6 linked regions of the Canis lupus familiaris genome follow. The main gene of each other region encodes a partner of the protein of the gene in region 4 in a complex. Links are inferred from orthologs where the notes say so. Each region holds a gene or a part of one and is shown on either strand. Other genes may lie near its edges. The genes, in order: FBXL13, DRC1, DRC7, TCTE1, CCDC153 and IQCG.

Evidence for each region.
Region 1: TCTE1 (region 4) and FBXL13 share a complex: the UniProt entries of both Homo sapiens proteins name them as parts of the nexin-dynein regulatory complex. The link is inferred for Canis lupus familiaris from reciprocal best matches to the Homo sapiens genes DRC5 and FBXL13.
Region 2: TCTE1 (region 4) and DRC1 share a complex: the UniProt entries of both Homo sapiens proteins name them as parts of the nexin-dynein regulatory complex. The link is inferred for Canis lupus familiaris from reciprocal best matches to the Homo sapiens genes DRC5 and DRC1.
Region 3: TCTE1 (region 4) and DRC7 share a complex: the UniProt entries of both Homo sapiens proteins name them as parts of the nexin-dynein regulatory complex. The link is inferred for Canis lupus familiaris from reciprocal best matches to the Homo sapiens genes DRC5 and DRC7.
Region 5: TCTE1 (region 4) and CCDC153 share a complex: the UniProt entries of both Homo sapiens proteins name them as parts of the nexin-dynein regulatory complex. The link is inferred for Canis lupus familiaris from reciprocal best matches to the Homo sapiens genes DRC5 and DRC12.
Region 6: TCTE1 (region 4) and IQCG share a complex: the UniProt entries of both Homo sapiens proteins name them as parts of the nexin-dynein regulatory complex. The link is inferred for Canis lupus familiaris from reciprocal best matches to the Homo sapiens genes DRC5 and DRC9.

The regions. Positions count from the first base shown.
Region 1 is NC_049239.1:17,297,366-17,302,784, forward strand, and holds the start of FBXL13 (dynein regulatory complex subunit 6), read left to right. Parts: upstream 1-1,807; 5' UTR 1,808-1,860; coding exon 1,861-1,935; intron 1,936-5,419. Other genes in the region: ARMC10 (armadillo repeat-containing protein 10), read right to left, coding at 1,217-1,355. UniProt on the Homo sapiens protein: Substrate-recognition component of the SCF (SKP1-CUL1-F-box protein)-type E3 ubiquitin ligase complex.
Region 2 is NC_049238.1:20,543,361-20,548,582, reverse strand, and holds the start of DRC1 (dynein regulatory complex protein 1), read right to left. Parts: upstream 3,166-5,222; 5' UTR 3,068-3,165; coding exon 2,913-3,067; intron 1-2,912. UniProt on the Homo sapiens protein: Component of the nexin-dynein regulatory complex (N-DRC) a key regulator of ciliary/flagellar motility which maintains the alignment and integrity of the distal axoneme and regulates microtubule sliding in motile axonemes.
Region 3 is NC_049223.1:58,042,840-58,048,015, reverse strand, and holds the start of DRC7 (dynein regulatory complex subunit 7), read left to right. Parts: upstream 1-1,663; 5' UTR 1,664-1,774; exon of another isoform or gene 1,775-1,789; intron 1,790-2,856; 5' UTR 2,857-2,903; intron 2,904-3,035; 5' UTR 3,036-3,070; coding exon 3,071-3,258; intron 3,259-3,583; coding exon 3,584-3,758; intron 3,759-4,049; coding exon 4,050-4,175; intron 4,176-4,945; coding exon 4,946-5,140; intron 5,141-5,176. UniProt on the Homo sapiens protein: Component of the nexin-dynein regulatory complex (N-DRC) a key regulator of ciliary/flagellar motility which maintains the alignment and integrity of the distal axoneme and regulates microtubule sliding in motile axonemes.
Region 4 is NC_049233.1:12,894,290-12,899,729, reverse strand, and holds the start of TCTE1 (dynein regulatory complex subunit 5), read left to right. Parts: upstream 1-2,111; 5' UTR 2,112-2,224; intron 2,225-2,659; exon of another isoform or gene 2,660-2,773; intron 2,774-3,286; exon of another isoform or gene 3,287-4,000; intron 4,001-4,987; exon of another isoform or gene 4,988-5,050; intron 5,051-5,440. UniProt on the Homo sapiens protein: Component of the nexin-dynein regulatory complex (N-DRC) a key regulator of ciliary/flagellar motility which maintains the alignment and integrity of the distal axoneme and regulates microtubule sliding in motile axonemes.
Region 5 is NC_049226.1:14,709,580-14,713,162, forward strand, and holds the end of CCDC153 (coiled-coil domain-containing protein 153), read left to right. Parts: intron 1-456; coding exon 457-549; intron 550-640; coding exon of another isoform or gene 641-834; exon of another isoform or gene 835-1,863; intron 1,864-1,876; coding exon 1,877-2,007; intron 2,008-2,306; coding exon 2,307-2,435; 3' UTR 2,436-2,730; downstream 2,731-3,583. UniProt on the Homo sapiens protein: Component of the nexin-dynein regulatory complex (N-DRC), a key regulator of ciliary/flagellar motility which maintains the alignment and integrity of the distal axoneme and regulates microtubule sliding in motile axonemes.
Region 6 is NC_049254.1:29,470,937-29,475,645, reverse strand, and holds part of IQCG (dynein regulatory complex protein 9), read right to left. Parts: intron 2,493-4,709; coding exon 2,331-2,492; intron 721-2,330; coding exon 646-720; intron 1-645. UniProt on the Homo sapiens protein: Component of the nexin-dynein regulatory complex (N-DRC), a key regulator of ciliary/flagellar motility which maintains the alignment and integrity of the distal axoneme and regulates microtubule sliding in motile axonemes.

The sequences.
Region 1 (5,419 bases), on a different chromosome or scaffold from region 4:
TGTTCAAACGTCAGCCAGAACTGTAAATCCTCTCTTTGATATAAATGGCATTTAAAAAAATATTTTATTTATTCACGAGAAACAGAGAGAGAGAGGCAGAGGAACACGCAGAGGGAGAAGCAGGCTCCATGCAGGGAGCCCCATGGGGGACTTGATCACAGGACCCCGGGGTCATGACCTGAGCTGAAGGCAGGCGCTCCACCACCGAGCCACTCAGGTGCCCCAAATGACTTTTAAAAAGCTAAGTAACCGTCTTGCCAGTTTACATGTAAGAAAGTCATTCTTAGGGGCTTTTGGGGTCATCTATGTGAAATGTAAACATCAAAAGATGGAGCGCAGACCCCTAAGTTTAGCCTTGGCGCCTGGCTCCACGTGGTAACCACCTGCTCATCATAAAGATCCCGAGAAGTCTTATTTTCCTCTGGATCAAGGCAATTAGCTAACAGCGATAGCCACCCCGATTACCAGCGAATTTAGGATGGACTCTGTGTGAATGGTGCTGTCAAGCCCTCTTGAGGACAAGTTCCTGTTTATCTTCAGAACATGCAGAGATGACACGAAACAGACTTTATCCGCCAGATACACGAAGTGAAGACACGTGTGTCTTCTCAATCCCATCAGCTGATCGCCTGTGATGGGCACGGCAATCTGGAGTCGCGCTTATTCAACAATAAAGCTTTAGTTCTTTCCTCCATTTGTAGGGAGGAGTTTCTTGGTTGGCATCCGTGACCCGCACTATCCTAGAACACCCAGCAAATCCTCGGAATCCCGATGCACCACCGGCTTTGGGGCAGCAACCACCCCGGCGCTGGGTCGCGGGGGGTCGCGGGGGGGGCGCCCCCAGCTCCCCGCGCGGGCAGCTGCTTCCATCCGCGGCCCCGGGACCTCCGCAACCTCGTAACCGAACCGCAGGGAGTCCCCGGGCCTCCGCGCCGCGGCGGGGCCCCCGCCCTCCTTCCTCAGGGGCGGCCGCAGGCACCACCGCACCTTCCGCGGCGGGTCCTGACCCTGAGGGGCAACCCACGCGCTTCTGAGAAACCACCCAATCCTCCGCGGGGACGCCGCCCTCAGCCAGGAAAATCCGGGCGTTTTTACCCCGGGATTTTGGACGAGGTGGACGCAGGCGGCAGCTCAGAGCCCCAGCGAGGGGGCCGTCGTCCGTGCCCCCGCCCCCGCCCCCCGCCCCGGCCACCTGCCGGGCACCCCGTGGCCTCACCTGCCGAGCGCGAGGGGCGCAGCCGAAGCCCGCGGGCGCCTCGCCGCCGGCCCCGCGCCAGCTTGTAAATGTAGTAGCAGGCACCGGCCCCGAGGACCAGGCCCGCCGCCACCCAGCCCACGTCCCGGGCGCCGCCCATGCTGCCCTGGGGCCGGGGCGCTGCGCTGGGCCTGGCGCGCGAGGCGGGGAGCCGCGGATCCCGCCTCAGCCCGAGCGCCGGCGCCGGGAGGACACAGGAAATGGGGCCCGAGCCCCGCCTCCCGGAAACGGCCCTGCTGACACGGAGGGACCGCCCACTGCGCCCCGAGCGGCCCGGCGGGGCGGCAGGGGCGGAGCGGGGGCGGGGCCGGAGCGAGGGGGCGGAGCTAGGGCGGAGCTCCGCGAGGAGGCGCAGGGACCGCGCGCACCGAGGGGACTCACTGGGGGACGCGGTCCCCGTCCAGAGGTGGGCTTCCCCTCGCTCCCGCCCGGGCTCGGGCCCGCCTCCACGCCCGGCGGCTCTCCTCGGCTCCCGGCGGCTCCCGGCGGCTCGCGGCGGCGGGGGCGGGGGGCTCCGGGGCCGCGCCCGCCCCGCCCCGCGGTTGCCAGGGCAACGCCGGGACGCGCTAGCGGGCGCGGGGCGCGGAGTCTGGGGGGCCCCGGTCATGGCCTCGCTGCGCACCGCCGACTCCCGGCTGAGGAGCTACTTCAAGGAGAATTACATTCCTCAGGTGTGCGAGGTACTGGAGCCCGCGGCGGCGGCGGCGTTAGAGCAGCGGAGCCCGAAGACGTCCGGGAGGAGGGGCGGGGGTTGGGCCCGGCCGGGAGCCGGGGGCGGAGAGGGCAGGCGGCGCGGCGCCCGGGGCGGACCGGCTCGGAGGCCAGAGCACGGGGCGCGGGGCCCGGGACAGGAACCGCGAGCCCCGCACTTAAGGTCTGGGCAAGAGGCCCGGGGCCGCAGGAGGATGCGCAAGTGGTCGGGAGAGCGAGCGGGCAGCGGCGGGCCCCGGGGGAGGCGGAGCCTGGGGGCGCCAGGCGGCAGGCCCCGACCCCACAGCCCGACCCTGCCTGACCAGGGGCCCCTCCCCCCGTCGTTACAGCAGGAAGGACTGGAGAGGCCCGGCGGGTTTTGTAGGTTTGGGGATTAGGAAAGCAAGACCCGGTGACTGCCATTTTCTCGACAAAGATTTGGTGAGACGTATGCTAAGCCGTGCGTGTTTGCGCGGGTTTGGAGGCTGCAGAAGGGGTCTGAGCAGAGACACGTGTGTGGAGACTGAGGGGGAGAGAAGTCTGGGGAAAGAGACGAGGAGAGCCCGGCAGCCCTGAGAGCCCAGCTTGCGAAAGTGACTGCTGTGCACTTGGGAGGGCAGTTCGGTGCAGCCTTTTTGAATGGTTAATTTAAATTTATTAAATGTTGACTACATATAGCCTTTGACCAAACATTTCACTTCTAGGGATCCACTGGAGAGATAGGCTTTCACGTGTATCCAGAAAGCTGTCCGAGGATATTCATTATGGTGAAAATAGTAAATAACTTCTATATGAATAAGGGAATGAGATAGTATATAAAGTATGTGTATACCTTTTGAGAAGAAAAGCTCTCCAAGACATAGTTTAAAAGAAGAAGAAAAATGCAAGTTGCCCCAGAAGTGTCTCCTACAATGTAGCTACTGTGATTTCCTTTTTTTTCTTATTTTAAAGATTTTATTTATTTATTCACGAGAGACTCAGAGAGAGGCAGAGGGAGAAGCAGGCTCCATGCAGGGAGCCGGATGTGGGACTCGATCCTGGGACTCTAGGATCACGCCCTGGGCGGAAGGCAGGCACTAAACCGCTGAGCCACCCAGGGATCCCTACTGTGATTTCCTATGTCTGTGTGTAGCGACGTTTAAGACAATAATAATGCATGCATAGAACATATGCAAAACTATTAATAGCAAATGTTTGGGGGGAATGCTTTTAGGAGAGAACCCTAATTTTCTTTGCTGTGTATACTTGTGTATTGTTTTACTTTTTTTCTGCTGAGTCTCATTCATGTTTTACTTCTACACGATTATATTTCAAAATATGTAGAGAGCATGGCACTCATCTTCCCCAGGGTGTAGTTTTTCTTTCTTTTCTTCTTCTTTTTTTTTTTTTTTTAAGATTTTATTTATTTATTCATGACAGACACACACACACACACAGAGGCAGAGACACAGGCAGAGGGAGAAGCAGGCTCCATGCAGGGAGCCCAACGTGGGACTCAATCCCAGGTCTCCAGGATCATACCTCAGGCTGAAGGTGGCACTAAACCGCTGGGCCATCAGAGCTGCCCTGGTTTTCCTTAAGTAGCAGTCAGTAAACCCAATAGAGGTACAGAAATAAGATTGACTTCATCCAGGAGAGGTGTTGGCCAGGCATATAGTGTGGAGGGGCAGCGGGGAAGGAGCTAAGCTTTTTAGGGTACCTGAGTGATGGGCCAAGGGACTGGGTATGAGGTGAGAATGGGACCGGATATGATACATGGGTAGAAAGTGGAGGTTCCTAAGGAGTAAAGAGGATTAGCAGGAGTAACTGAGTGTGGGAGCTGGAAAAATAGGAGGGTAGGGGTCCGAAAGTGGAATATTTGGGTTTAAGATTTAGATCACTCAGAATAGCTGCGATGACCCTGTCTTGGTTGGCTGTGAGATACATAGCAGAAAGTGGGCTCGAGCTGAGGGTCCGGGAGCATCAGAGAAGTGATAGCCTTTCCTCACCTTGCTCTCCACTTCCCATAAGCTGGTAGAGGCATCCCTGGTTCCTCCTTTGGGTGAGAGCACCCTAGCCCACCAGCCTACCACATTGCTTTGCTCCCAGAGAAGGGGAGCCCTCAGAAGTGCCCTTCACTGAAGGCGATATTCTCATGAGCCCTTCCGTCACTTCTGACCACGTTACCAGCGGGGCAAGAGAGCAGGCTTCTGGGAGCCCCGCTCCCTCCTTAGCCTGGTTACCCACTTCCCCTAAAGGACTATCAGGATGAACCCGTTGAGCCTCATATCCCTACACAGCTACTCATCTGACCCGATTCAACAGGACTAGCAATCCTCTAAAACCCATCTTCGGCAAGCTTTGGAATACATACATTTTTTTTTTTTTTTTTTTAAATCAGGACTTCCCTGCATATTTAACCTCGTCTGAATTTCGCCCGCCTATCCTGAATAAAACCTGGATGTCATTTCCCTGCAAACCCCTGCATAGAGGCTGATTTAAAGAAAACAAACAAACCACAAAACACAACCCTGCTTGACTTATTGGGTTACTGATTCTATTGATTGATATTTTCCATCAGTTTTAGAAAATTTTTGATCATTTTCAAATAATGCTTCTACCCAATTCTCCTTTCTCTTTCTGGGACTGCAATCGTAATTATGTTAGTTTTTCCCCACCCCCTGCTCTGTTTTTTCCTTATTTTTCTCTTTGTGCTCAAGTTTGGATATTTTTCATGATTGTCTTCAAATTTATTGATTCTGTTTTATGCTGTGTCCAGGATATTGTTAATAAGTATATCAAATGAATTCTTAATTTCAAACAGTATATTTTTCAGTTTTAGAATATCAGCCGATTCTATTTTACACATTCTGATTAAAATTTTGCCTGTTTTCAGCTATTTTGTCTATCATTTCCTGTTTTCTTTAATATGTTGTCATTTTAAAATCATTGTTAACATGATCAGCTTTGAAGACTCCCAGAATGGGATAATTGTTGAAACTGGGTATGTGCACATAGGGGTTCATTATACTCCTTTACTTTCTGTATGTTTGAAGTTTTCCATAATAAAAAGTTAAAGGATAGTAATGGCTGGCTGTGTTTTCTCATACCGTACGTAGTTAGGGTCTGGCTGGAATGACAGGTGTGATTGGCTGGTCAGTCATTTTCTGTTTGCTCGCTGTATTAGTTACCCATTGCTATGTCATACAACTGGAAAACTTAGTGGCTTAAAACAACAAGAATCATTTTGTTTGTTTAAAAATCTGAATTCTGAAAGGTTTTTCAGGGAGAGCTTGTGTCTGCTTCATGTGGTACCACCTGGAGTGGATAAACAGGGCTTAAAGATCCGCTTTAAAGATGGTGTAAACCGGGATCCCTGGGTGGCGCAGCGGTTTGGCGCCTGCCTTTGGCCCAGGGCGTGATCCCGGAGACCCGGGATCGAATCCCACATCGGGCTCCCGGTGCATGGAGCCTGCTTCTCCCTCTGCCTGTGTC
Region 2 (5,222 bases), on a different chromosome or scaffold from region 4:
TCACTGTCCTGGTTATATAAACAAAGTTCAATCAAAGAAAACATTCACTGTCTGCTTTCCTTTTCAGGCTTTTTTTTTTTTAATCCCCTGCTCCAGGTGTTAAACTCATTAGGTACACCACTGCACCTCACATATTCGTTTTCTCACCAGCACCACCAGCCATTCCATGTGGTCTTTATGTCATGGAGACAACCCTTTGTCAGCGATTCCTTTTCTGTTTCTAATTCCTTTTCTGAGCTCTCTTCTCATCTCTTTTTATCCTTTTTTCCAGAGTAAATTCAATCCATTCCCATGGTTTTAAATACAATCATAATGCTGTTGACCTCTCTAATCTAGAATTGTCTTCTGAGTTGAAGACCCATGTCCAAATGCCTAATGGACATCTTGGTTTTAAAGTCTTCCAAAATCCAATTTCACTGAATATGTCCAAAGCCAAACTCTTGATTTCCAAATCCTCCTGACTCACTTCCCCCATCACCATCTTTATCATTTCAATGCAAGGCACTACCATCTACTCAGCTGTTCAAGCCATTCTTGCTTTTTCCCTGTCTTTGACTAGCATATCTAAAATCAGTAAATCCAGTCAGTTTAAGCTGTAAAGCATTTCTTGACTACATCTGCTTTCTCTCCAAACCCACCAGACCAACTTCATCCCTCACAGAACCAATGCAACTGCTTCCTAACTGTCCTCTTCAATTATACTTCTGGCTTCTGCAAACCAATCCCTCAGACAGCAATCAGAGTGATCTTAACATACTTAGAAATTTGAGAAATTCCCACATTAAGTTGTTGGTGAGTGGGTAAGAGTTATCATGGGAGGGAAGGCCAAGTGGACATCTTTAAAACTGTACCTGAATACATAAAAACAATCACAAAGTGGGGGCTAGGGAGTGGGGATGGTGGAAATTAGTATCACCCTTAAGGATCTCAAGGATACAGGAGTGGTGGTCCCCCCCCCCCCCCATCATGTTTCCATTTAGTTCACGGGTCTGGTCCCTGCAAAAACTGGTTGCATCTGAGAATATGATTATCAATACTGCAAGCTCAACCAAGTAGTAGGCCTCATTGCTGTTGCCATGTAAATGTGGTATCTTTGCTGGAGCAGTGTAGAGTGGTCTTATGTACATACAAGGTGGCTGCTGATTGGGTCAAATGTATTATTTTCTACCTAAATCAGGAAAAAGAATCAGAAGTTCACATTTACATGGAACAGACAATAATATATACACATATAATTCTCACACTCACAGCGTCATGTTGATTCTCCTGATCTCTGTCAAAACATAGACTGAATAAATCAGGACCATTTGGATACCCCAGAGAACATCACGTTGATCCACTACATCAAGATTGACCTGAGAGCTAGATATGACCCATCTGTTTTTGTAGGGCTCATAAGAAAAGAATGATTTTTACACTTTTTAATGATTAAAAAAAAAAAAGGAACAGATCAATAGGAAGAGCACAAAGGATTTTTAAGGCAATGAAACTATTCCATATGATACTATAATGGTGGACACATATCACTATATATTTGTCAAAATCCATAGAACACCAAGAGTGAATCATAATGTAAACTATGAACTTAGGGTGATGATGTGTCAATGGAGTTTCATCATTTGTTTTGTTTTGTTTTTTTTTTAAGATTTTATTTATTTATTCATGGGAGACAGAGGGAGAGAGGCAGAGACACAGGCAGAGGGAGAAGCAGGCTCCATGCAGGGAGCCCGACGGGAGACTCAATCCCGGGTCTCCAGGATCATGCCCCGGGTCGAAGTCAGTGCCAAACTGCTGAGCCACCCAGGCTGCCCGAGTTTCATCATTTGTAACAAATGTACCATTCTGGAGGATGTTGATAGTGGGACAGGCTGTGTATGCATGGGGGCAGGTGGTATATGGGAAATCTCTGTACTTTCCACTCAATTTCGCTGTGAATCTAAAATTTCTCTTAAAAAATGAATTCAGAAAAGAAGATCAAAATCTGAAGAAAATTTTGTGACACATGAACATTATATGACATTCAAATTTCAACGTCTTTAAGTGAAGTTTTTTTTTTTTTTAATTTACTTATGATAGTCACACACAGAGAGAGAGAGGCTCAGAGACATAGGCAGAGGGAGAAGCAGGCTCCATGCACCGGGAGCCCGACGTGGGATTCGATCTCGGGTCTCCAAGATCACACCCTGGGCCAAAGGCAGGCGCTAAACCACTGTGCCACCCAGGGATCCCTTAAAGTGAAGTTTTATTGGAACACAGCCATACCACTCTGTGATCTAATGGCCAGCAAACAAGAAGTCACCATCTTGGTAGGATAGGTGACCCTGGCTAGCAGGACAGGGTACAAGTGCTCTTACACAGTGAGGGTGTTCAGGAATTCAGAAGATCATGCAGGTGCCTCTTAGAATCCTCTTGTGACAGCCCACTGTGCCTATGAGTAGACAGGTGCAACAACCCTGTCCTGAGAAGGGTATGATTATCAGGCACAGACCCTTCAGGAATGAGGGTTTGTGTCATACAACCAGATAAGCTACTGAGACCAGCAGAAGTGACAGCTGAGGTCCACTCCAGAAATGCTTGTGGAAGGCAGGCAGGTGGGGATGGGAAGGAGGAAAGAAAGACCTCTGAGAGGAGGTCACGGATGGCCTGTGTCTGCAGTCCATTGCTCGCAGTGCATGGCACAGCAGGCTTTCAATAAATTTTTAAAAACTTCCTGCTGCAGAGACTATTATTTCCGTCTTTGACTCCACAAGTGTATTGAATGTGTTCATATCCCATACTTTGGTTGAACCTTCCGGAAGAAGTTTTTCCTAGCTCACCGCCTATCTTTGCGCTCACACGTGGGCCCCGCCCGCCCCGGGAAGGCGCCCGCCTGGTCCCCGCCTCCGCTGCCGACCGCCCGGACCCCCGCTCACCGCCTCCGGGCTTCCAGTCGCGCCGCGATGCGGAGGCGCCGGGCCTGGATCCGCTCCTGAGGGTTGTCAGAGTATATGGACGGCCCGAGAATCGGGGTGGACAAGTCTTCCTCCTCCTTCTCCTCCAGAACCCCCAGAGATCCCGGCGGATTCATGGCAGGTGCCTCCCGCCCCAGGCCCGCGGCGCCTGGACCACCGCCGGACCACGGCCCCGTTGCTAGCAACAAGTCGTCGCCAGGGAAAAGCAGGCACCTGACCCGCAGCTGGAGCGCGCGCGAACAGCTCCCAGGCCACGCCCACCTGAGGCTGCACGCCCCCCTGGGTTCTGTATTCTTCTCCCGGAGAGAGAACGGGACTTAGGCTCTACCTTAGTGGGGTGAAAATTACATCAGTTTCGTTCAGCACTGTACAAATAGCGCCGAGCATAATGCCTAATATGTAGTAAGTGCTCAACTAGTGTTTGCTGAAAGAAGTGTACACAGATGTATATGTATGCTCGCTGTAGTTATTTATAATGTTAAAACACTAGTGTGACCCTGAAATCCATCAATAGGGAACTGATAGGAACGCCTGGGTGGCTCCGTGGTTGAGCATGCCTTTGGCTCAGATCGTGATCCCGCGGTCCTGGGATCCAACCCCACATCAGGTTCCTCGCAGAGAGCCTGCTTCTCCCTCTGCCTGTGTTTCTGCCTCTCTTCTGTGTCTCTCATGAATAAATAAAATCTTTTTTAAAAAAATGGGATTGATAAAGCTTTCACGGGATGGATAACAATGTAGCTACTAAGAATGGGTCTGACCTACAAAGACCTAAAGATGTATGAAATGAGGAAGAAAGGATGTAACACAAATGTGTAGAATGTGATCCAAGTTCTATTTGAAATATATCTAGTACATATGGTCAAAAAATGAGCACAAAGTAAGGCCAAAGAAGTTACTGCCTGTGTTCTCTTCTAGGAGCTTTATGGTTTCAGATCTCATATTTAGAGAGATGTTCCCCAACATCGTTTGAAAAGACTTTTTTCTCATTGATATTCTTTCCCGCTTTGTTGAAGATTGACCATATAGTTGTGTGAGTTCATTTCTGGATTTTCTATCCTGTTCCACTGACCTATGTGTCTGTTTTTGTGCCAGTACCATACTGTTTTGATCAGCTTTTAATTATAACTTGTAAGTCTGGAATTGTGATGCCTCCAGTTTTGCTTTTCCTTTGCAAGGTGGCTTTGGCTATTTGGGGTCTTTTGTAGTTCCATACAAATTTTAGGATTGTTCTAGTTCTGGAAAAATGCTGTTGGTATTTTGAAAGGGATAGCAATAAATGTGTAGATTGCTGTGGGTAATACAGACATTTAATTATTTGTTCTTTCAACCCATGAGCATGTAATGTCTTTCCATTTCTTTGTTTCATCTTCTATTTCTTTCATCAGTGTTTTAAAGTTTTCAGAGTACAGATCTTTTACATCTTCGGTTAGGCTTATTCCTAGGTGTCTTATTGGTTTTGGTACAACTATAAATGAGATTGAATCCTTTCTGCTGCTTCATCATTGGTGTATAGAAATACAACAGATTTCTGGGGTGCCTGGGTGGTTCAGTCAGTTAAACATTCAATCTTGATTTTGGTTCAGGTCATGATCTCAGGTTGTGAGATCAAGCCCCATGTCAGGATCTACACTGGGCATGGAGCCTGCTTAAGATTCATTCTCTCCCATTCCCTCTGCCTCTACTCCCACTCTCAAAAAAAAAAAAAAAAAAAAGAGAGAGAGAAAAGAGAAAAGAAATATAACAGATTTATGTACATTGATTTTGTAGCCTGTGTGTTGTATGCAAGTATTGAATCATTATATTGTACACCTGAAACTAATAATACACATGTTAACTGATTGGCATTTATTTTTTTCCTTTTTTTAATAATAAATTTATTTTTTATTGGTATTCAATTTGCCAACATACACTGATTGGCATTTTTTTTTAATTTTTATTTATTTATGATAGTCACAGAGAGAGAGAGAGGCAGAGACACAGGCAGAGGGAGAAGCAGGCTCCATGCACCGGGAGCCTGATGTGGGATTCGATCCCGGGTCTCCAGGATCACGCCCTGGGCCAAAGGCAGGCGCCAAACCGCTGCGCCACCCAGGGATCCCCCACTGATTGGCATTTAAATAAAAAAACAAAAAACAAAAGGGATACATACATCCTGATGTTTTAGCAGCATTATCTACAATAGCCAGATTATGGAAACAGCCCAAGTGTCTGTCCCATCTACTGATGAATGGATAAAGATGTGATTTATACACACACACATACACAATGAAA
Region 3 (5,176 bases), on a different chromosome or scaffold from region 4:
TAACACAATATGTACACAAGTTAAAAACAACAGCATGCAGAATGGTGCTCACTTTGGAAAAAAAACAATGGCCCAGAATAGGTGTCTATGACAGTCAGAGAATGGAATTGGGTATAGGGATAAAAGGGAATAAATAAATACACAAAAGAAGTGAGACCAGTCTGACATGCCACCTGTTTACCTTTCCCCCGCTCCTTGCTCACTATCACCCCAAACAACTTCCCCAGAGGTAATCGCAGGACACACTGCCCCGTGACCTTTCCCTCGGTTTTATTTATCCATCATGCTTTATTTCTCGTGACTGAGTAATATTCCCACCAGAATTTAAAATCATTATTTATTATTGAGAATTGAGGTGATTGCTATGTCTCCCCCAGGAGCAGCAAATGTCCAACCTTATCAGGATGGTGTTTCTGCCGACACGTTCCACCCCCCCACTCCCCCACAGGGCTGCTTTACAACTTTCAAGGCCCCTCCCTCCAATAACAAAAAAGTAAAAGTATATTTTTTCACTGCATTGGTACAAAGACCAATATAATTCAGGTGGACTCATAATTATATACTTGTGATTAGTCTATTCATTTTTTCTTCTGAATTTGAAAGATTAAAATTAATTTTCATGGGCCACTATGAGTTTTCCCTGTTTTGTGAGTCGTAGATGAAATCAGCCCATTTTCATGGGCTCTGGATGAGTTTTCCCTGTTTTGTGAGTCGTAGATGAAATCAGAAGCCCAACCTGGGCTAGAATCCAAGACTCATTTAGGTAGTTGGGTATTATCTACCATGATAAGCGGACACACCAGGTCCCACACTGGTTTCCACCTGTCTTGATGAGGGCCACACAGACCATGCATGCGGTAGAGGCAGTGGTGGCCTGGTAAATGCTTCACTGGGGGGAAAAGTCCTGGCGTATAACATTGGCCAATTTTATTTCTTTTTTCTTTTCTTTTTTTTTTTTTTAAGTAGGCTCTACACTGGGTGTAGAGTCCAACCTAGGGCTTGAACTCACAACCCTGGGATCAAGACTCAAGCTGAGATCAATAGTCGGACCCCTAACCGACCAAGCCACCCAGACACCCCAACATTTGCCAATTTTAAACAATTGGCATGACATCACTGAAGAGAAGGTGGGAAGAAATTCAGAGTAGCTTATCATTATGTAACATTTCCGTTATACAGATACAGTAGTAGGAAATAACTTCAAGAATATACATGCTGGTGAAATGTAGTAAAATAATTAAAAAGTAATGAGTTTTAATTACCTCCACTTCTAATATAATCTATTTATAAGTTTTTTTTTTAAGATTTAATTTATTTATTCATGAGAGACACAGAGAGGCAGAGATATAGGCAGAGGGAGAGGCAGGCTCCCTGCGGGGAGCCCAATGCAGGACTCAATTCCAGGACCCCGGGATCATGACCTGAGCTGAAGGCAGATGCTCAACCACTGAGCCAACCACGTGTCCATATTTATAAGTTTCTATAATTTAATGTGCAATCGTGGCTGTTTGTCAACTGGCTTGCAAACATTTCTGAAATTTTAACAATCAGCTCTTGCAAGTTGGCACAAACTGGCTCCAGCCTGTCACTTGCTGAGGGACCTACCACACATAGTCTTCTGGGCCCAGATCTAGACAGCAACAGAAGACTGCATTTCCCAGAAGCCTCCTCTCCCAGACCCTGCACTCTGCTTGGAAAGCTGTTTCCATGGAGACAGGCTAACAGATGGCCCAGACAGTCCTCAGAGGGGTGAGGAGTGAGCAGAGGCCCTGAGGTAGCTGGTGGTGGGGTAAGAAGTAGGGTGGTGATGGGAAGAGGGCTTTTTCTGCTGAGGGGCTTTCAGGCCTGATCTTTCTGGGGAAGCTGTGTGTGTGTGTGTGTGTGTGTGTGTGTGTGTGTGTGTGTAGGTTTCTGGTTGCTGCCAGGGAGGGGTGCAGAAAAGGGCCTGTGGGGTGGGGAGGTCCTCTGGGCAGGGACTGGCCTCCCTAAACCAGGCTGTACCTGAAGGGGCAGCCTGGTGTGGGAAATTAGTATAACAGGTTCTGGCTCAGTTCCACCTCTCATGTTCTGTGACCTTGGGCTTGGGGCCCATCTCAGTGCCTGTCATAGTTGTAACCCCCTGCTGCTCACAGACACCTTGGCTTTCTCCCCACTTCCTTCTTTACTTACCTCTCCCCCACCCCACCCCACCCCACCCCCGCCCCATCCCTTCTAGGGCTTCCCAACTTTATCGGGAAATAGATCCTGGTAGGTCCTAAGGTGTACGGTTTCCAGAGCCAGAAATATACGGCTCAAACCCCAGACTGCTACTTATTAGCTCTGTATTGTAGCCACTGCACTTAATGTCTCTAGGTCTCAATTTTCTCATCTGCAAAGTGGGTACCAAAGGAGCGTCTACCTCTCAGAGTCTGTAAGGGAAGAACTCAATTCGGTGCCCTATCTCCTCTGCTTCTCCTTTACTTCTCCTAAGGGACACTTTGCCCCACCCCCCACCTCTGGTCACCAAATGTGTGGGGGTTTCTCCCCACACCAATAAGTTCTCTGCGACCTCTGTCCTGCGGGCTGACACAGGGCTTGACCCAGAGAGCACAGGCTATGTCACCCCCCACATACTTGTCCAGGTGCCTGGTGGCAGCCTGCCCATGCCTTTCTCTGTGCCTCGGCTCCAAGCCTGGTGATGTTACCTTTCTTTCCTTCCTCTTTTCTCTAATCCCTATGGCATTAGCATCACTTGCCATGAAGAGAAGCTACTGTTGAATAAGTAAAATAAATAAAACTGCATTAGTAACTTTGGGCCACCTGCTCAGCCCTGACAATAGCTTCCACGCTGCGACCTGCTCTGTCTCTGTCTTATAGGGAGATCCGCAAACGGTGGAAAAGTGTCACAGACGTGCTGGCACCAAGTAAGACTTTCTTTCTCCCTGATGGAGGGGAAGTTGAGGGGGGCTCGCTTCCCGCCCCCAACCCCTCCCGGAGACGCAGGCCACCCTGGTGACTGAAGTGGGCCACCCTTGGTGCGTTCACCCCTCCCACAGAGACTCGGGCTCAGGACAGCCAGAGGCCGCCGGGGATGGAGGTCCTGAAGGAGAAAGTGGAGGAGGAGGCGGCCACGGAGCGGGCAGAGGCGGCCGAGCGGGGCGAGAAGCTGCTGAGGCCCCTGGACGCGCGGAGGGAGGAAGCCCCCATGACGCAGGAGATGCTCCGAGACCTGGAGAAGAAGCTGTCGGAGATTGAGATCGTCGTCCCGGAGCAGCCCTTGTGCGTGTCGGGGTCGGGGCTTCGGGCCAGACAGAAACAGCGGCTCCAGGGTTGGGAGGTGGGAGCCGACGCAGAGGGAAGCAGATACGAGTGAGGGCTCTGCTTTCCATCCGCCTCGTCCAGGTCCCCTCTCTGCCCCTCGTGAGCTGTGTGACCCGGGGCAAGTCACTCGGCCTCTCTGTGCCTCAGTTCCCTTCTCTGTTTAAAAGTGCACATGATAATAATGATACCCCTCTGGGCAGTTGTGAGGATTACACGAGGAAGGGCTAGCGCCAGCCAGGGTGCCAGCCCAGGTGCCAGGGGGCCACCTGTCTTGTGGGCACAGGACCTTCACGAAGGACTCAATCGACATCTCCAAGCTACCCCTCTCCTACCAAAGCAACACACTCAAGGAGGAACACCTGCTGCAAGTGGCAGACAACTTCTCTCGTCAGTACAGCCACCTGTGCCCAGACCGCGTGCCCCTCTTCCTGCACCCACTGAACGAGTGCGAAGTGCCCGTAAGGCCGGGTGGTAGAGGGTAGGACAGAGGCTGGAGGGCAGAGGGCAGAGGGAGGTGAGCCAAAGCCTGTGGGTCAGAGCTTGTATCTGGGCACAGCATAAACTCAAATGCCAGCATGCCCCAGCAGACTCCATGTGACTCACCCCAGGGACCTGTGGTGACCTGGAGACCCATGCCCATCTAAGGAGCCATGGATAACCAGCGCCCCACACAGGGCCTTGGCTTTGGGGGAGGGCTGGCCTCCCCTGGTGGAAGTCCTTCTTGGAGCCTGTGGTCTCTCCCCTTGCAGAAGTTTGTGAGTACAACCATCCGGCCCACGCTGATGCCCTACCCTGAGCTCTACAACTGGGACAGCTGTGCCCAGTTTGTATCAGACTTCCTCTCCATGGTGCCCCTGCCTGACCCCCTCAAGCCAGTAAGTGCCACCCCAGGCTGCATCCTTTGGCCCATGAGGCTGAGGATGGGAAGCCAGGGAGCAGGAGACTCAGGGAGGTTCAGGCCACGGCCCATAGTCTATCTGATCTGAGTCCCTCAGAGACCACCCCACCCAGGGGATGGGAGTGGGGGTGGGGAAATGGGCTCAGAGAGGATGGCCACTGGCCTGAGGTCACACAGCAAGGCTGGTCTCCTGGCTCCACCTCTTTGTCTCCTTTGCCTCCTTCTGCCTTCAGAGTGTTCCTTTCAAGACATGAGAGATGGGGAAAGGAGAGGGGGGGAGGGCCCCGCTGCCTGTGACCCCCGGCCCCATCTTTGGGCTTCTGTTCAGTTCAATTTGTTTCCCAACTGAGAATGGAGGGAACGAGGGAGAAAGGGATAGGTACACAGTGGAGAACTAAGGAAGGGAAGAGAAGGAAAGATCAGAAGAGAAGGTGAGAACTTTGGAAGAAAACCATTAAATGACCAATCAGAGAGCATTAGACCAGAAGCTTCCATAGTCCAGGGGTCTTTCCCATCAGGAAGTCCACAGCCACTTAAAATTATAGGCAAATGTGGATTGTACTTTATATACATGGGCCGTGGTCCCATCCCATTCTTAGCAGGCTCCCTAACCTGACAAAGTGGGGGAGCCCAGGTCGGGGGTGGGGATCCAGCCTGCGCCTTAGCCCTAGTGCCCAGCCGCTGGCCAGTGGGGGGACAGGTCGGGGGCTGCGGTGCCGGCAGTGCTGACCAACCCTCTGTGGCCAGCCCTCGCACCTATACTCCTCCACCACGGTGCTCAAGCACCAGAAGGGGAACTGCTTTGACTTCAGCACGCTGCTCTGCTCCATGCTCATCGGCGCTGGCTATGACGCCTACTGCATCAACGGCTACGGCTCGCAGGACATATGCCACATGGACCTGACTCGGGACGTGTGTCCGCTCACCATGAAGCACAAGGAGGTAGGTGCAGCTTGGGCTGCCACAGGCATCCTGCAA
Region 4 (5,440 bases):
AGCATCTGCCTTCAGCCCAGGTCATGATCCCGGGGTCCTGGGATGGAGCCTGGCATTGGGCTCCCTGCTCAGCGGGGAGCCTGCTTCTCCCTCCCCCTCTGCCCCTCCTTTTGTTCTTTTGTTTATGCTCTCATCCCCCACCCCTGTTAAATAAATAAAATCTTTAATATATATAATTTCACAAAGGCTAGGAAGTTCCAGAAGGTCTTTTGTTTAAACAAGAGTCACTTTCCCCTCCAAGCATCCTTCTATAGGTGTCCTGTCACCTGTCTGATCCCTCACATAGGATTGAAAAGTCACCCAGCATCCAAATGAGAACCATTCTCATTGCCCCAAGTGCTTAACGAATGGGCTTTCCACACCAGGGGGTTCTGGGCACTCACAAAGGTGTCCCTAGCTGCTGAGACCCAGACCTGCCCTGTGAAAGTCATTACAGCAGTGCAGATCCTCACTGGTGCCGCTTGTTTCATTAACAGTAACTTCCCATTTTCAGGAAGGCAGGCCCTGGTGATTTGTCAATGAAATGAGCAGCAGGTACTGGTCAGCTGCTGACACTGTGGTGAGAACCAAAGGCATAAAACTTCCTGCACTTGTGGAGCTTTCTGCTAGCAGGGAAATACGCAGTAAAGAGAAGGCAGCAGATGGAAGGCAGCAATGAGGTCTGCAGAGAAGGCAGGACAAGGATTGGGAGGGGTGACTTCGTTGTTTCCTGGGAGGTGGCACTGAGTGGAGGGTATCTGAGGGAACAGTGCCCCAGACTGAGGGCACAGCCAGTGCAGGGGCCCTCTGGGGGAGGTGAGCCGGTGCAGTGAGTGGTAAGTGGCAGGTGATGGGGTCTGGAGAGCACAGGGGCCAGAGCCACCCAACTCTTTAAGACAAAGTGCAGGGCACGGGCCCCAAGCCTGAGCTGAAGCTGAGAAGTGGCAGCTCAGAGTGGGAGGAAGCCGAGAGCCAAAGGAACCCTCCTTCCCTAACAGGATGGATGCACTCAGGACCAAGCCAGACTCGGGAGCTCCACCTCTGTTCCCAGCTCTCTGTTGCTAGAGGAGGGAAAGGATCTCAGGAGATCCATCTCCAAGTTAAAGGCTCCCTGGTGACCAAGTTCCGGGGCCGTTTAGTTAAAATTATAAGTGTAAAGCACGGCTTCCCACATGATTTCTCATTCTAATTGCAACAGTTAAAGGGTTTGCGAGGGACCAGTCCCCACCGGAATGGGATGCCGGGGATTCCTTCTCGCTCAGCCCTGTGGGCTTGCAAAGCTGTACCTCCGGATCTCGGCCACTGCCACAGTGGCCACCTCTCAGTGACGCTCACTGGAAGCCCAGCTCTTTACTTTGGACACAGGGTGAGGAGTTGCGGTGACGTTTTACGATGAGTTATCCGAGCTTCTAAGATGTTAACTTACCCATGGCAACAGACTAGTAACTGGGAGAGCTGAAGGTAAAGCTAAACTGCCTCCATGTGAAACGTCCTACCATCCTGGTCACCTCTCCCCTCCTGAAGGACAGTTCTTATTAGCCAACCCCCCAGGTTGGTCCTTCCTGCCCGTCAGGAGCACCACATCCTGCCGCCCAGAGCTAAGGGGGACGGGGGGGGGGGGGGGGGGGTGACATAACGTTTAGTGCTGTGTGAAGGAGCGCTGTGGAGACCTGGAAACTTCCTGCCTGGTGCCTGACATCAGCCTTGTTCACATCCTGGAGAAAGGTGGAAGGTACCACACTGCAAGGATGCTGCAGCCCACAGCTCTCCTGCAAGGCTCGGGGCAACAGTAGGCCCCAGAGGAGATCCGGTAACCCCTGCAGGTGCCCTTCCACCTCCTCACCTTCCAGAAGAAACTGCGGATGCTTTTCCTTTGTCCATTCGTCACCGCGCACCCCGGTTCCACACAGAAGGTACCAAGAAGGAACAGCACTCCAGTCCGGAGCCCTGCCCCAGGCCCTACTCCTCCCCCTCCCCCAGAAAAGCCCATCTATTCCCAAGCGCGCTCCCCAGAACCTCGGAGCACGGCCCCCTTTCCCCCCACCCCGCCCCGCCCCTCCCCTCCCGGTTCCCAGGACCCACCCAGCGGCTCGCCGCGGAGGCCCGAGCGCACGCGGATGTAGGCGCGCACATGCGCACCCGCCCTCGGACCCGCCCCCTGGCGACGCGGGGCGTCCCTAACGACCGGCGCGGCTGCGCGGTGGGCCTGCAGGAAGGGGAGCGTCCGGCCTCGAGAGTGGGTGAGGTGAGCCCGGGAAGACAGCTCAAGCCCGGGCCTCCCTTATGGGGCTGAACTCCCCCTGCCCCCGCTCCCGCCTGGCTGAGATTGGCTTGGCTCTGAGCCCCGTCTGTCCCCACAGGAGACTCCCCACCCCACCCATTTGAGGCGGGACCCTTGCTTCTCCGCTAAGGTCACTGCATATTGGCCCAGAGGTTTAAGGTCTGCCAGTAAAGGGGTGCGGGGTTGGGGGGGGGGACACCACGAGAAGGAGGAAGGAGAGTGTGGGGCATCGGGTAGGTCGTGGAGGAGAGCAGTCCTGAGCCCCGGAGGAGCCGCAGGCTTCTCAGAAAGACGGACTCCCATTCCCAGCTCCTGCAGGCTGCAGTCCCTCCTACAGGTCCAGAAGCTTCAGTACCTCCCTTCCTCCCTCCCTCCCACAGCACGGCTGGTTTCCCTTGGTTACTAAGGAGCCGCAAGGGCCTCCTCACCCCTGGCAAGTTGGGGGAGGGACTCGCTGGCCTTTGGAGCTGAGCTTCCCTGCAGGAGTGTCTGAGCCCAAGGCAGGAGTAAGGGGTGAGGAATGAATACTCTGGAGCCCTTTTTAAGACAACAGACCCAAGTGGTCAGGAGTTGGGAGAAGGGCCAAGCCCAGGGGTGTGATAAGTGTGCCATCTCACTGGGGCCAATCACCAAGCATGCTGGGCCCAGGCTCCATCACAGAACTTTGCTGTCCTTCTTTTGTGATTTCACAAACTAAGAATTCCCAAGTGGGAATTTGGGAGGCATATGGCCGGAGGTAGGGTCTGATGGAGGCATGAAAGAGATCAGGAAAGTAAGACAAAAGCCCAGGGCCCCTGAGGACAGATGCCCAGGGAGGGGTCTCCTCTGGGATCCTAAAGTGAAGGAGAAGCTGGCTGAGAAGTCAGAGGAAGCACAGAGGGAGAAGTGGGTAGAGGATATAACCCATCTAGCCGAGCCAGCCCAGAAGGTAGTGTCCAAGGGGCACAGAGATGCTTCGGCTCCTCAGTTAAGAGGAAGGCAGGTAAAAAAAAAAAAAAAAAAGAGGAAGGCAGGTGAGAATGAGGACCAGGGATGTGATGAGCAGGAAGGGGAGAGAGTTCTCCCCCAGCCTCTTCAACTTTCCCCTTCAGGCAGTGGGGAGAACCGTCTGGCTACAGTGGTTAGATTTAACTGGAGACTTGAGAAGAATAGAGAAGGTTTGAGACGTCCGAGAGGAGGGAATGTGCTAGAGATTCAGGCACTGAGTCCCAGGTCTATGAGCAATATCAAGGGCCCAATGTGAGCCATGGAGCAGGAAAGTGCAGCTCTACAGAATGTTCTTGGGTCCCTAGAGGCCTCATGCTGAAGGATTCAGGCGACGGTCCAGTTCTGTGGAAGGGCCTCATGTCTGGCAGTGACTTAGGGGGTGAGGGAGTCTGGGCTGTTTAGGCCAGCATCTAAAGGGTTACCCCAGGCTTCACACTGGTGACAGGATGAGAAGCGCCCATGAGCTGCAGAAAATAGGAGGCCCGCTGGAAAAGTGCCATGAACAACTGAATCTGGACAGTTTAGGAAGCAATCCCAACAGCTTATTATTTCTATGCTTTTGTGCATGGAAGTGACAGAGAGCTTTGAATGGGTATCAGCTGAAACTTTAGGTCTCCCACTTACTAGCTATGTGATGCTTAGCAAGCTACTTATGCTTTCTAAGCTTGTTTCCCCATTTGTGCAATGGAGATAATAGTGTCATAATAGCAGGAATAGTCCTCAATTGAAGGAAGATTGAATGAACATACCTAGGTAAGTCATGTCACATCTTCATCACAAATCTAACACATATTTTGAAGGGTGGCTCTGGGCCCAGCATGACATGAATCCTCTTACACACATCAGCTCCTTTAAAATCTTCTGGATAATCTTAGGAAGTAGACACTACTAATTTCTACCCCCATTTTACAGATAAAGAAATGGAGGCTTAGTAGGGTGAAATGACTTCCCCAAGGCCTCACAGATGCTCCGGGGTAGAGTGGAGATTGGCCTTAATGCAGTATAATTCCTAAGTCCTTACCAGCTGCCTCCTGCTGTGCAAATGCTTTGAGAGCCTAAAACTCCATAAATCATAGCTGTGTATAGGCAAGATATGGTTCCCAGGACACTTGTCCAGCAGATGCAAGCCATCAAAAACAAGGCCAAGCTGGCCGAACTAGGGCATGTTGTCACTTAATATTACCTGTGCTTGGGCACATAGAGAATAGACTTTTACACCCAACCCTTTGAGTTATGGCCTGAATGTGATTTTAGGACCCTGGGCCCTGGTCCTAAGGACACAGAACAGAGAGCTGGTTGGGAGAGGATTGACCTTTCTACAGGGATTGTGGTCCTGTGTGGGGTTAGGCTGGATGATGGCTGGAGACACAGCATTGTAAAGCCCAACAGGCCTGTGAAACCTGTGCCAGGAAATGAAAGGTCACAGGACATGTCCCCACCTTCCCCATCCTAGAGTAAGCTGTGCATTTCAATAGGGGCACCAGGTGGTGGCACAAGAAGTGATCACTCCCCATGGCCCTGACTTTCTCTCTGGAATATGAGAAAAGAGAAGGATCAGAGTGTTCAACACACTTTCAGTCTTCATACTCTGGGATTCTCTGTCTACCCCATAGGTTCCCTAGGGAGAAAAGCTCCAAAGAGGAAAGTGGGTGCCATTTCTGGAGCTGTCCTCCTCAGGCCCTTAGGAGCTGTCGGGGTGCCTTTGGGCCCCTCACTAATGGGTGTCTATCCACCCCCCAGGCTTCCAGGAAAAATAATGCCACCTGCTACCACCCTCAGCTGCAGACTGGTGATGCCTGTGAAGTAGGTGGAGTTATCTCAGGTCCCCTGACTTATTCTCCTATGGGCCCTCCACCCGTGGTGATGTGTTCTCCTTGCCCTCTTCCTAACTTGACTTTTTGGATCTGAAATTCATTCACACAGAGGTGTGGATGCCTGATAAGAGGGGAGATATCGATATAGATAGATAGATATAGATATAGATATAGATATAGATATAGATAGATAAATGTATATGTTATGAACCAGTAATTTCCGTAGTAGGGTGCCAATGTCTCGTTGCTTTCCTGGCCTGGGGAGGCCTTTTCTGACAGGCTCTCTTTGCCTAAAGATAGGAGCCCAGCCTCCCAGGAAGCAGGGACATGCCTTCCTCTTTCCTGGGGAAGGGTGGAAAATGTGGGGAGGGGACGCACC
Region 5 (3,583 bases), on a different chromosome or scaffold from region 4:
CCACCTGCTACTGACTAGCGCCAACCTTCCTGGCTCAGTGTGAATCAGGCAGGGGCTTGAAGGAACCAAAGGAAGGCCTCTGGGACCCAGAGGCAGGAACCTTCCAGGATGCCCAATGCCATGTGCTTTATGGATTACAAAAAGCACTTCCTGTGATATGGATCACCAAAAAAAATTACATGACCTTTGTCTCATTCATGTAGTGAGAGTGAGTGGGGAAAAAGGCTAGAATCCAGGTCCTGAGCTGGGTGAGGGAGAGGGGTGTGATTTCTGAGCTTCTCTCCAGGTATTCAGGCTCTGAAAGCTTCTCAGAATCCTGGGAACGGAGAAGACCTTACTGCTCTTGTTCCCACCAGACAAAGCAGGCCCTTCCCCCCTTCCCCCCACAACTTCCCTTTCTTTCTCCACCACTCCATCCACACCCGGGGCCCTGGTCACCCTCTGCCCTCACCACAGAGATGTGTCGTCAGTGCCGAGCCCTGCAGAAGGAAATGGAGACCCACAGGAGGCAGCAGGAGGAAGAAGTGATGGGCCTTCGGAAGAAGCTGGGTAGGCTTCCCCACCCCCTAAGCCCTTTCTCTCCAAAGAGCACTGACAAGGTCCAGCCTGCAGGGATGGACTTACAATGGTCCTTCTCTAGAAGACTGCAATCGAGGCTCTTGGACCATTGTCCCCCCTGACTCTCTCACCGTGGAGGATTGCAGCAGAGGGCTCAAGATGGCCAAAATCTCAAAGGTGGAACTAAAGAAACCGGAGAGACTCACGCTGTCTCCCTCTCTCGATGGTCTCGCCAAACCTGGATCTTCCTCCCTTCCACTGCCATGTCTGTCATGAAAGAAACATATTCCTTCTTTTTTTAAAGATTTTATTTATTTATTCATGCATGAGAGACACAGAGAGAGGGGGGCAGTCACTATATGGGGAGCCTGATGTGGAACTCAATCCCGGGACTCCAGGATCACACCCTGGGCCAAAGGTAGATGCTCAACTGCTGAGCCACCCAGGCGTCTCAAAACATATTCCCTCTTAGCTGATGTTTACAATGCAAACTAAGAAAAGATATTTGACTTATTTATTTTCATATCCTCAATGCCTTGGGCATGCCAAGCCCTACATAATTACTTGCTAAATCAAAGAATAAACCTTTTAGAGAAGCAAAAATGTAAAGGACAGGAAGTTTTTCCTTTCTCTCTTGGTTACAGGATAAAGTTGAACTATCTTAGCACGACACATAAGATCTTTCACAATTGTGACCTCAGAGTTTCCTTAACCTAAAATAGCCTCAGTTTCTTTCTTTCTTTCTTTCTTTTTACTAGGCGCCACACCCAATATGGGGCTCAAACTCATGACCCTGAGACCAAGAGTCAGCCAGGGGCCCCTAAAATAGCCTCAGCTTAGCTACAGATACCCAAGAGTTGCTTATCTGCCATGCGGACCCTGAATTCCTTTCATAATCCTTGCCTTATTTCAAATTTAAATTCGATCAGCATTTATGGAGCACCTCCTGTACATACTAGGTATTTTTCCCCATACACTCTCACATTTAACTCACAATAAGTCTGTAAGGTTTGTATCAATCTCTCTTTAAAGATGAAGAAACTGAGTCTCAGAGAGAGATGTACCCAAAGTTACACAGGTAGTAAGTGACAACCAGACTTTGGACGCACATTTCTCATCCCAAGCCTACTGCTCTCTCTGCTGTACCTCAATGGTATATGTCAGATCTTTATACGAACTATGGGAAAATTGATGATCCTGGGGGGGGGAGTCTGGAATGATCCCATTCAAGTTCTGCTTTTGAGGTGTCTTTGGAGACTCTGTTCACAAGTAGAATGTCACTACCCAGTCCCCTTCCTCCTCCCGCCCTGCCCTGCAGAGACGTGCCAGAGGGAAGCTGAGGCTGCGCAGCAAGAGGCTGAACGGGCCCTCGGAGAGCGGGACCAGACTCTGGCTCAGCTTCGGGCCCATGTAGTGGACATGGAGGCCAAGTACGAGGAAATCTTACATGTAAGCACCACCACCTCTGGAAGCCCTACCACCCCAGTAGCTAGGACTCCCCCATTCCCCTGAACCCCAACTAGTTCATACTATCATTGTCATCAATGGGAGACCAGGGGGGAGGAGAAGCATCTCCACAGAGAACCCTGCTCTGCCCCGAGGGCAGACAGCCAAGGCACGCAACCACACTTACTTAGTAAGAGTAAGAACCTGAAGAAGATGCTAGGAGGAAAGCTCGCAGACCAGCCCAGGGAAACCCTTGCTCTACCCTCTCTCCCTTCCTGGAGCCTGAAGCTTGGTGTCCACAGGGCAACCTGGACCAACTCTTAGCCAAGCTGAGAGCAGTCAGGCCTCAGTGGGATGGGGCTGTGCTGAGACTTCACGCCAAGTACAAGGAGCAGCTCCACCAATTTGGACTCAACCCCCTGGATCTCTAAAGCTGTAAGCTTCGGGGCAGCCCGGGTGGCTCAGCGGTTTAGTGCCGCCTTCAGCCCAGGGCCTGATCCTGGAAACCCGGGATCAAGTCCCATGTCAGGCTCCCTGCATGGAGCCTGCTTCTCCCTCTGCCTGTGTCTCCGCCTCTCTCTGTCTCTCTCTCTCCCTGTGTCTCTCATGAATAAATAAATAAAACATTAAAAAAATAAAATAATAAAATAAAATAAAGCTGTAAGCTTCTAGTCTCTGGGCCTCTGAGAGGCTCCAGCAATAAAGCTGTCTTGATGTAGAACTCCACAGAACTGTGGTCTGTGCCTTTTTGACAGATACAAATATCTCTTTGAGGGCATGTTGGTTCTGGCGGACCCATTACTCTGAAGATTGAATGAGAGGATAGAAATTTGACATTTGACAAACTCTCAACTCCTCTCTTAGAGAAACTGGGCCCCATGCCTTGAATCTTGGGCCCTTTGGGTCCTTTCAAATCACCATCCCCTACTCCCACTACCCACACCCCTCCCCGGCACCAACACAGGTAGCCAGATTTGTGGGGGCAAGGCCATTTCTTTAATAGACCAGCAGTGACCAGGCACCAGCCCCCACAATCCTAAGGTGCTGACAGAGAGAAGGTGTAACTGGTCTCCAAACTCTTGCAATATATGGGGGGAGTCCAGGAGTCATGCCTAAGGCAAGTTCCAGATGGCTTCAATCCTAGCCAATCCCATAGCCCACCTATAAAGGGAACACTGTGTTGCTCTTCTATTTTACAACATTCCCAATACTACTTTACTTCTGGTCATATATACGTCAGGGGAGGGGTCCCCCACACCAAGCAATTCTTCAACAGCTCTGTGGACCCCTGCTGGGTACCTTATAATTTCATTCAATTCTGGCACTACTAATGTGAAAAGAGCACCGGATCCCACAGGCTTACGGGACCAATCCCTACTTCAACTGCCAGTGTCAAGTCCAGATTGTCACTGTGCTTCTGACCAACTGACCAAAAAACAAAGGTTCCCACAACCCCCTTCTTGGGTTCCATCATTTGCTAGAGTGGCTCACAGAACTCAGAGAAGCAGTTTACTCCCTAGTTTACCAGTTTATTATGAAGGACACAGCTCAGGAACAGCCGGCAAGTATGTCTAGGGTG
Region 6 (4,709 bases), on a different chromosome or scaffold from region 4:
ATATCCAAAATAAAGGGTAACAAGTCAACTAAGGCATGACCATTCAATAGAACATAAAGCTATTTTAAATTATTTTTATGAAGACACTATAATAACATGAAAAAAATGAGGCAAAAAGCAACTGACAAAAAAAAACTTCCCTCAACTAAGAGTATGTTATTTTAATAATTTTAAGAATCAGTAAATTTTAATTTAAAATTATGACTATGAGGAATATAGGAGCAAGAAAAGTTTGTTATATATTGCTAGCTGATAAAGGCAGAAGACAAAATTTTACCTGTGCTCAAATTACAGCTTTATAAAATGTTCATTCAGATGAGTAACTGTGAGACAAGACATGGTCTAAAGCTCATTCATTAGGCCAGTAAAATTCTGGTTGATTTTTTTTTTCAGATTTTATTTATTCATGAGAAACAGAGAGAGAGGGGCAGAGACACAGGCAGAGGGAGAAGCAGGCTCCATGCAGGGAGCCCGATGTGGGACTCGATCCTGGGTCTCCAGGATCACGCCCTGGGCTGCAGGCGGCGCTAAACCGCTGCGCCATCAGGGCTGCCCTGATTTTTTTATCCCTCAAATAATTTATTTCCTTAAAAACAATTTTTTTGCCATACATGGTATTTTGTAAGTGGAGTTTGGGTGACCCACCTGCTGCTCCTTCTTAAGGAACGTTTCAATCTCCATATGAATCCTGTTCTCTTCTTCGGTTTTCAACCTCAGTTTCTGTGAAAACGATAAATATCAGGAATTCCTGCCAGCACGGTTCAGAATGAGAAGTTCTCAAGATTAGAGGTGTAGCTGTGACAGTATCTCAGGCTGGCTGCCTGGCTGCTTTCCTTATTTCTTTTTGGTTAAGATTTTATTAACCTTCAGGTAAGGTCGTGATCCCAAAGTCCCGGGATCGAGTCCCACATCGGGCTCCCTGCAGGGAGCCTGCTTCTCCTCCCTCTGCCTGGGTCTCTGCCTCTCTCTGTGTCTCTCATGAATAAATAAATAAAATCTTAAAAAATATATATATTTGAGAGAAAGAGAGAAAACGAGAGATGGAGCCCAAGCAGGGGGAGCAGCAGAGCGAGAGGGAGAAGCAGACTCCCTGCTGAGCAGGGAACCCCCACATGGGGCTCGATCCCAGGACCTAACTAAGATCATGACCTGAGCCAAAGGCAGATGCTTAACTGACTGAACCACCCAGGCGCCCCTCAGATTTTCTTTACCAGCTGGGATCCCAAGAATCCTGTTGTATTGCACTAGGGTGGCAAATCAATTCCCTTCCACCCAGTTCGTGTTCAAGAACATCACTGAGCCATGTGTCGGGCATTGTGCTGGACACATGCCAGAGCCCAGGACAAAAGGACCACGATTTGCTGGCTTGGATAAGGAGAGAAACAATGTTTCAAGGGCACACGGTTCTTAGGCCTCGAAAAGAAAATTCCAGGATACAAGAAAGGTTTGTAGTCCGAGTCCTACGCCATACCTGGGGAGTAAGCTTTCCACTAAGTAGGGGCCCAAAGAAAGCAGTCCTCCTGCACACAGAGGGCACTTCCCATGTTTGCTCCCTCTCACCAACCCATTGTTCATTTAGCCATTTTAGCCTTCCTTTTCTAAGGAGGGTCTACCCCTTGTGTCTTTCTCCTGATATTTTCCACTGTGACTTCTCATCTTTATAAATTTAGGTTTGAATGAAGTTCAGCTCTCTTGACTTTGTATTTCTTACTGGAGGTACAAAAGGTACCGGTGGGGTGAGGAAGGCAGCAGCAAAACCCACACTTAATAAGTATCTTGTTTCTCCCTAATTACTAGGAAAAATGGCAAGTGGTTTTATAAGATACAGATAAAGTGACCAAAGAAATAAAGTACAACTGAAAATAAATAAAATCTTTAAAAAGGGGGGTGGGGGTGGGGAACGCCTGGGTGGCTCAGTGGTTGAGCATCTGCCTTCTGCTCAGGGACTGATCCCAGAGTCTAGGATCGAGTCCCAGATTGGGGTCCCCGCAGAAAGCCTGCGACTCCCTCTGCCTATGTCTCTACCTCTCTCTGTGTGTCTCTTGTGGATAAAAGTGGATAAATAAATAAAATCTTAAGAAAAAAAGAAAGTACAATTGATTTTCGACATCATTACAAAAAGATGTAGGCTACAGCCCATCAGAATCTCTGCCTGCAAATACACCAGACCTTGTTTTGTTTTTATTTCTAATCTCAAATGTGAGAGTTGCAGGAGAGATGGAGCAGAGATCAAGAAAATCTCCTCTTCCTCCCTCCTCTGTCAGTTGAGGCAGATGAAGAGTGAAAGCCCACATGCCATGCACCATGCTCGTGCCAAATGCAGTGATTACCTCTATCTCCTCCAGCAAGAGCTCCTCGGTTCTGTTACATTTCTTCTGGGTCTGGGAGATCTGCAGATCAGTGTTTCTCTTCATATAGCGATTTTCCATGTTGGTTTTTGCCTTCATCTCTTGCAACTGGTCCTTGAGGTGAGCAATATATTCATTCCGACTCTGTAGAGGTAAGCCCAGTTTTCGAAATTAAAATACATTCAGGCGGCACCTAGGTGGCTCAGTCGGTTGGGCATCCAATTCTTGATTTCAGGTCAGGTCATGATCTCAGGGCAGTGAGATGGAGCCTGGCATCAGGCTCCCCACTCAGCGGGGAGTCTGCCTAAAACTCTCTCTCCCTTTCCCTCTGCCTCTCCTCTCTCTCTAAAATGAATACATCTTTTTAAAAAAATAACAAAATTTAAAAAAATAACAAAATAAATAAAATACATTCTACCTCCATTCAGTTCAGCCAATGACTGAAGCCTACCTTTTGTATCTATAAATCAACAAGAAACTGAATCTATTTTTCTGTTTCTGCACTGTAGGAAACTTAGCCAATAATCATGGATAGTATAGATGAAAATGAAAGAGAAGTAGTTCTAAGCATCAGGAATGGGAGATTCTTTCCTAGGTGCACTATCTGGGTCGTCTGTATGCATAAAGATTTCCCATTACTACTTCATTTTGGTAGAAAGAGCACTGGTCTAAATGATCAAGAGAATCAGGTGTCTTCCCACCCAAGCCCCCAACAGCTGTATTAGCCAAGTCAGTTAAATTCTCTAAGTCTTACCTTCATTACTATCTGCCCTGCCTGGAATATCTCAGCAAGTGATTAGAAGGAATTAATTGAGAGTAAGTGAAAACCCTTGGCAGGTCACAAAGTGCTCGGCAATTTTAAGGTTTCAATATTCATTAAAAAAATATTCATTCTGTACCATACTAAGTTAAACAGTGGAGACCTAATAGACATGGTCCTTGCCCCCACAGAGCTTACGATCTAGCCAAAAGCCTTTTCTAGAAAATTGACAAAGTCAAACAAACCTTTTGGAGCGCCTGGCTGGATCAGTCAGTGGAATGTCTGGATCTCAGGATTATGAGTTTGAGCTCACATTGGGTGCAGAAATTACTTAAAGATAACACCTTAGGTGGTACCTGGGTGGCTCAGGGAGTTGGGCAGCCAATTCTTGATTTCAGCTCAGGTCATGATCTTGGGGTCGGATCAGCCTCGTGTTGGGGGCAGGGGGACCTGCATGGCAGGGAGTCTCCTTCAGGATTCTCTCTCCCTCTGCCCTTCTTCCACCCCACACCCAGCTTGTTCTCTCTCTCTCTCTCTCTCTCTCTGTGGTTCTCATAAAAAAAAAAACTCATTTTTAGAGGGGTCTTTTGGGGCTCACTTTTGCCCCTTCCTTTTCTCTACACTTCCCTTTCCCGTCTCTTGCCATTTTGCTTCTCTGCTCCCTTCTAATTCAAGCTGTAAGGCGGTTGGCGACCAAGTCTGGAGTTTTGGAAGGCTTCAGTTAGAGTGGAATGGGATGGCTTCCTTTCCTCACTGGCCGGAATCTGTACACCTGCTTAACCACTCAGTCTCTCTTTGAGGCCCTGCTTATATACCACTTACGTCCAGAAAGCCTTTTCTAGAAAACCTCAGCCCATATAAATAATCGTGATTTTGTTTCTCACAGAACCTGACCATGTGAAACAGTTAGGTATTCATTAAATAGCATCCATACAAAGATACACTTTCAAAAACTCAAGAAAATGTTCTGGTCAGTTGTCTTTTTCAAGCTGAATATTAAGTCTTTCAGAGTAAAAATACAAAGATCAGAAATGCAGAGTTAAAACTCTAGGAGTTTCTGCCTACGGCAAGCAAAAGGTGCTGCATTATATAACTTAGTAAGGTCATTTGACATTGGTCTACAGCTGCCCTGTGCCAAGCCAAAGGCATCTGGTTTTGTGCCGTCGTCATGCGCCTCAGATTATTCCCTCCTTACTGCTGTTCGGCACAACTTGTGGCCTCCTGTGGTGACCATGTGGGAACAGAAGATGTAAAATATGGACAGACTAGTGATGGTCAAATCTTGATCAAAGCATACCAGGTGCACTGCAGCGTCACCCCGGATCTTCACCTGCAGTATACAAAAGAGAGGAGGCCTACAAGCAGTGGAGTACGGGCCCAGGGTCGTTGTCCGTTGTATGAACTCCTTTTAAGTTGCTCCCTAAGAAAAGATCTGTCTTCACCACAACCCACCAGCATAACCCTGCTTGTCCAGGGTGTCTGCAACCTTCCCCGTGATCAAGGTCTGTGGACTGAGGCAGCATATTTGTGGGTTTTCGTAGCAGAGCAAACTTTACTTACAAATCCTCGAACTGCCTTCAGATCAGTACTTGTTATTTGAA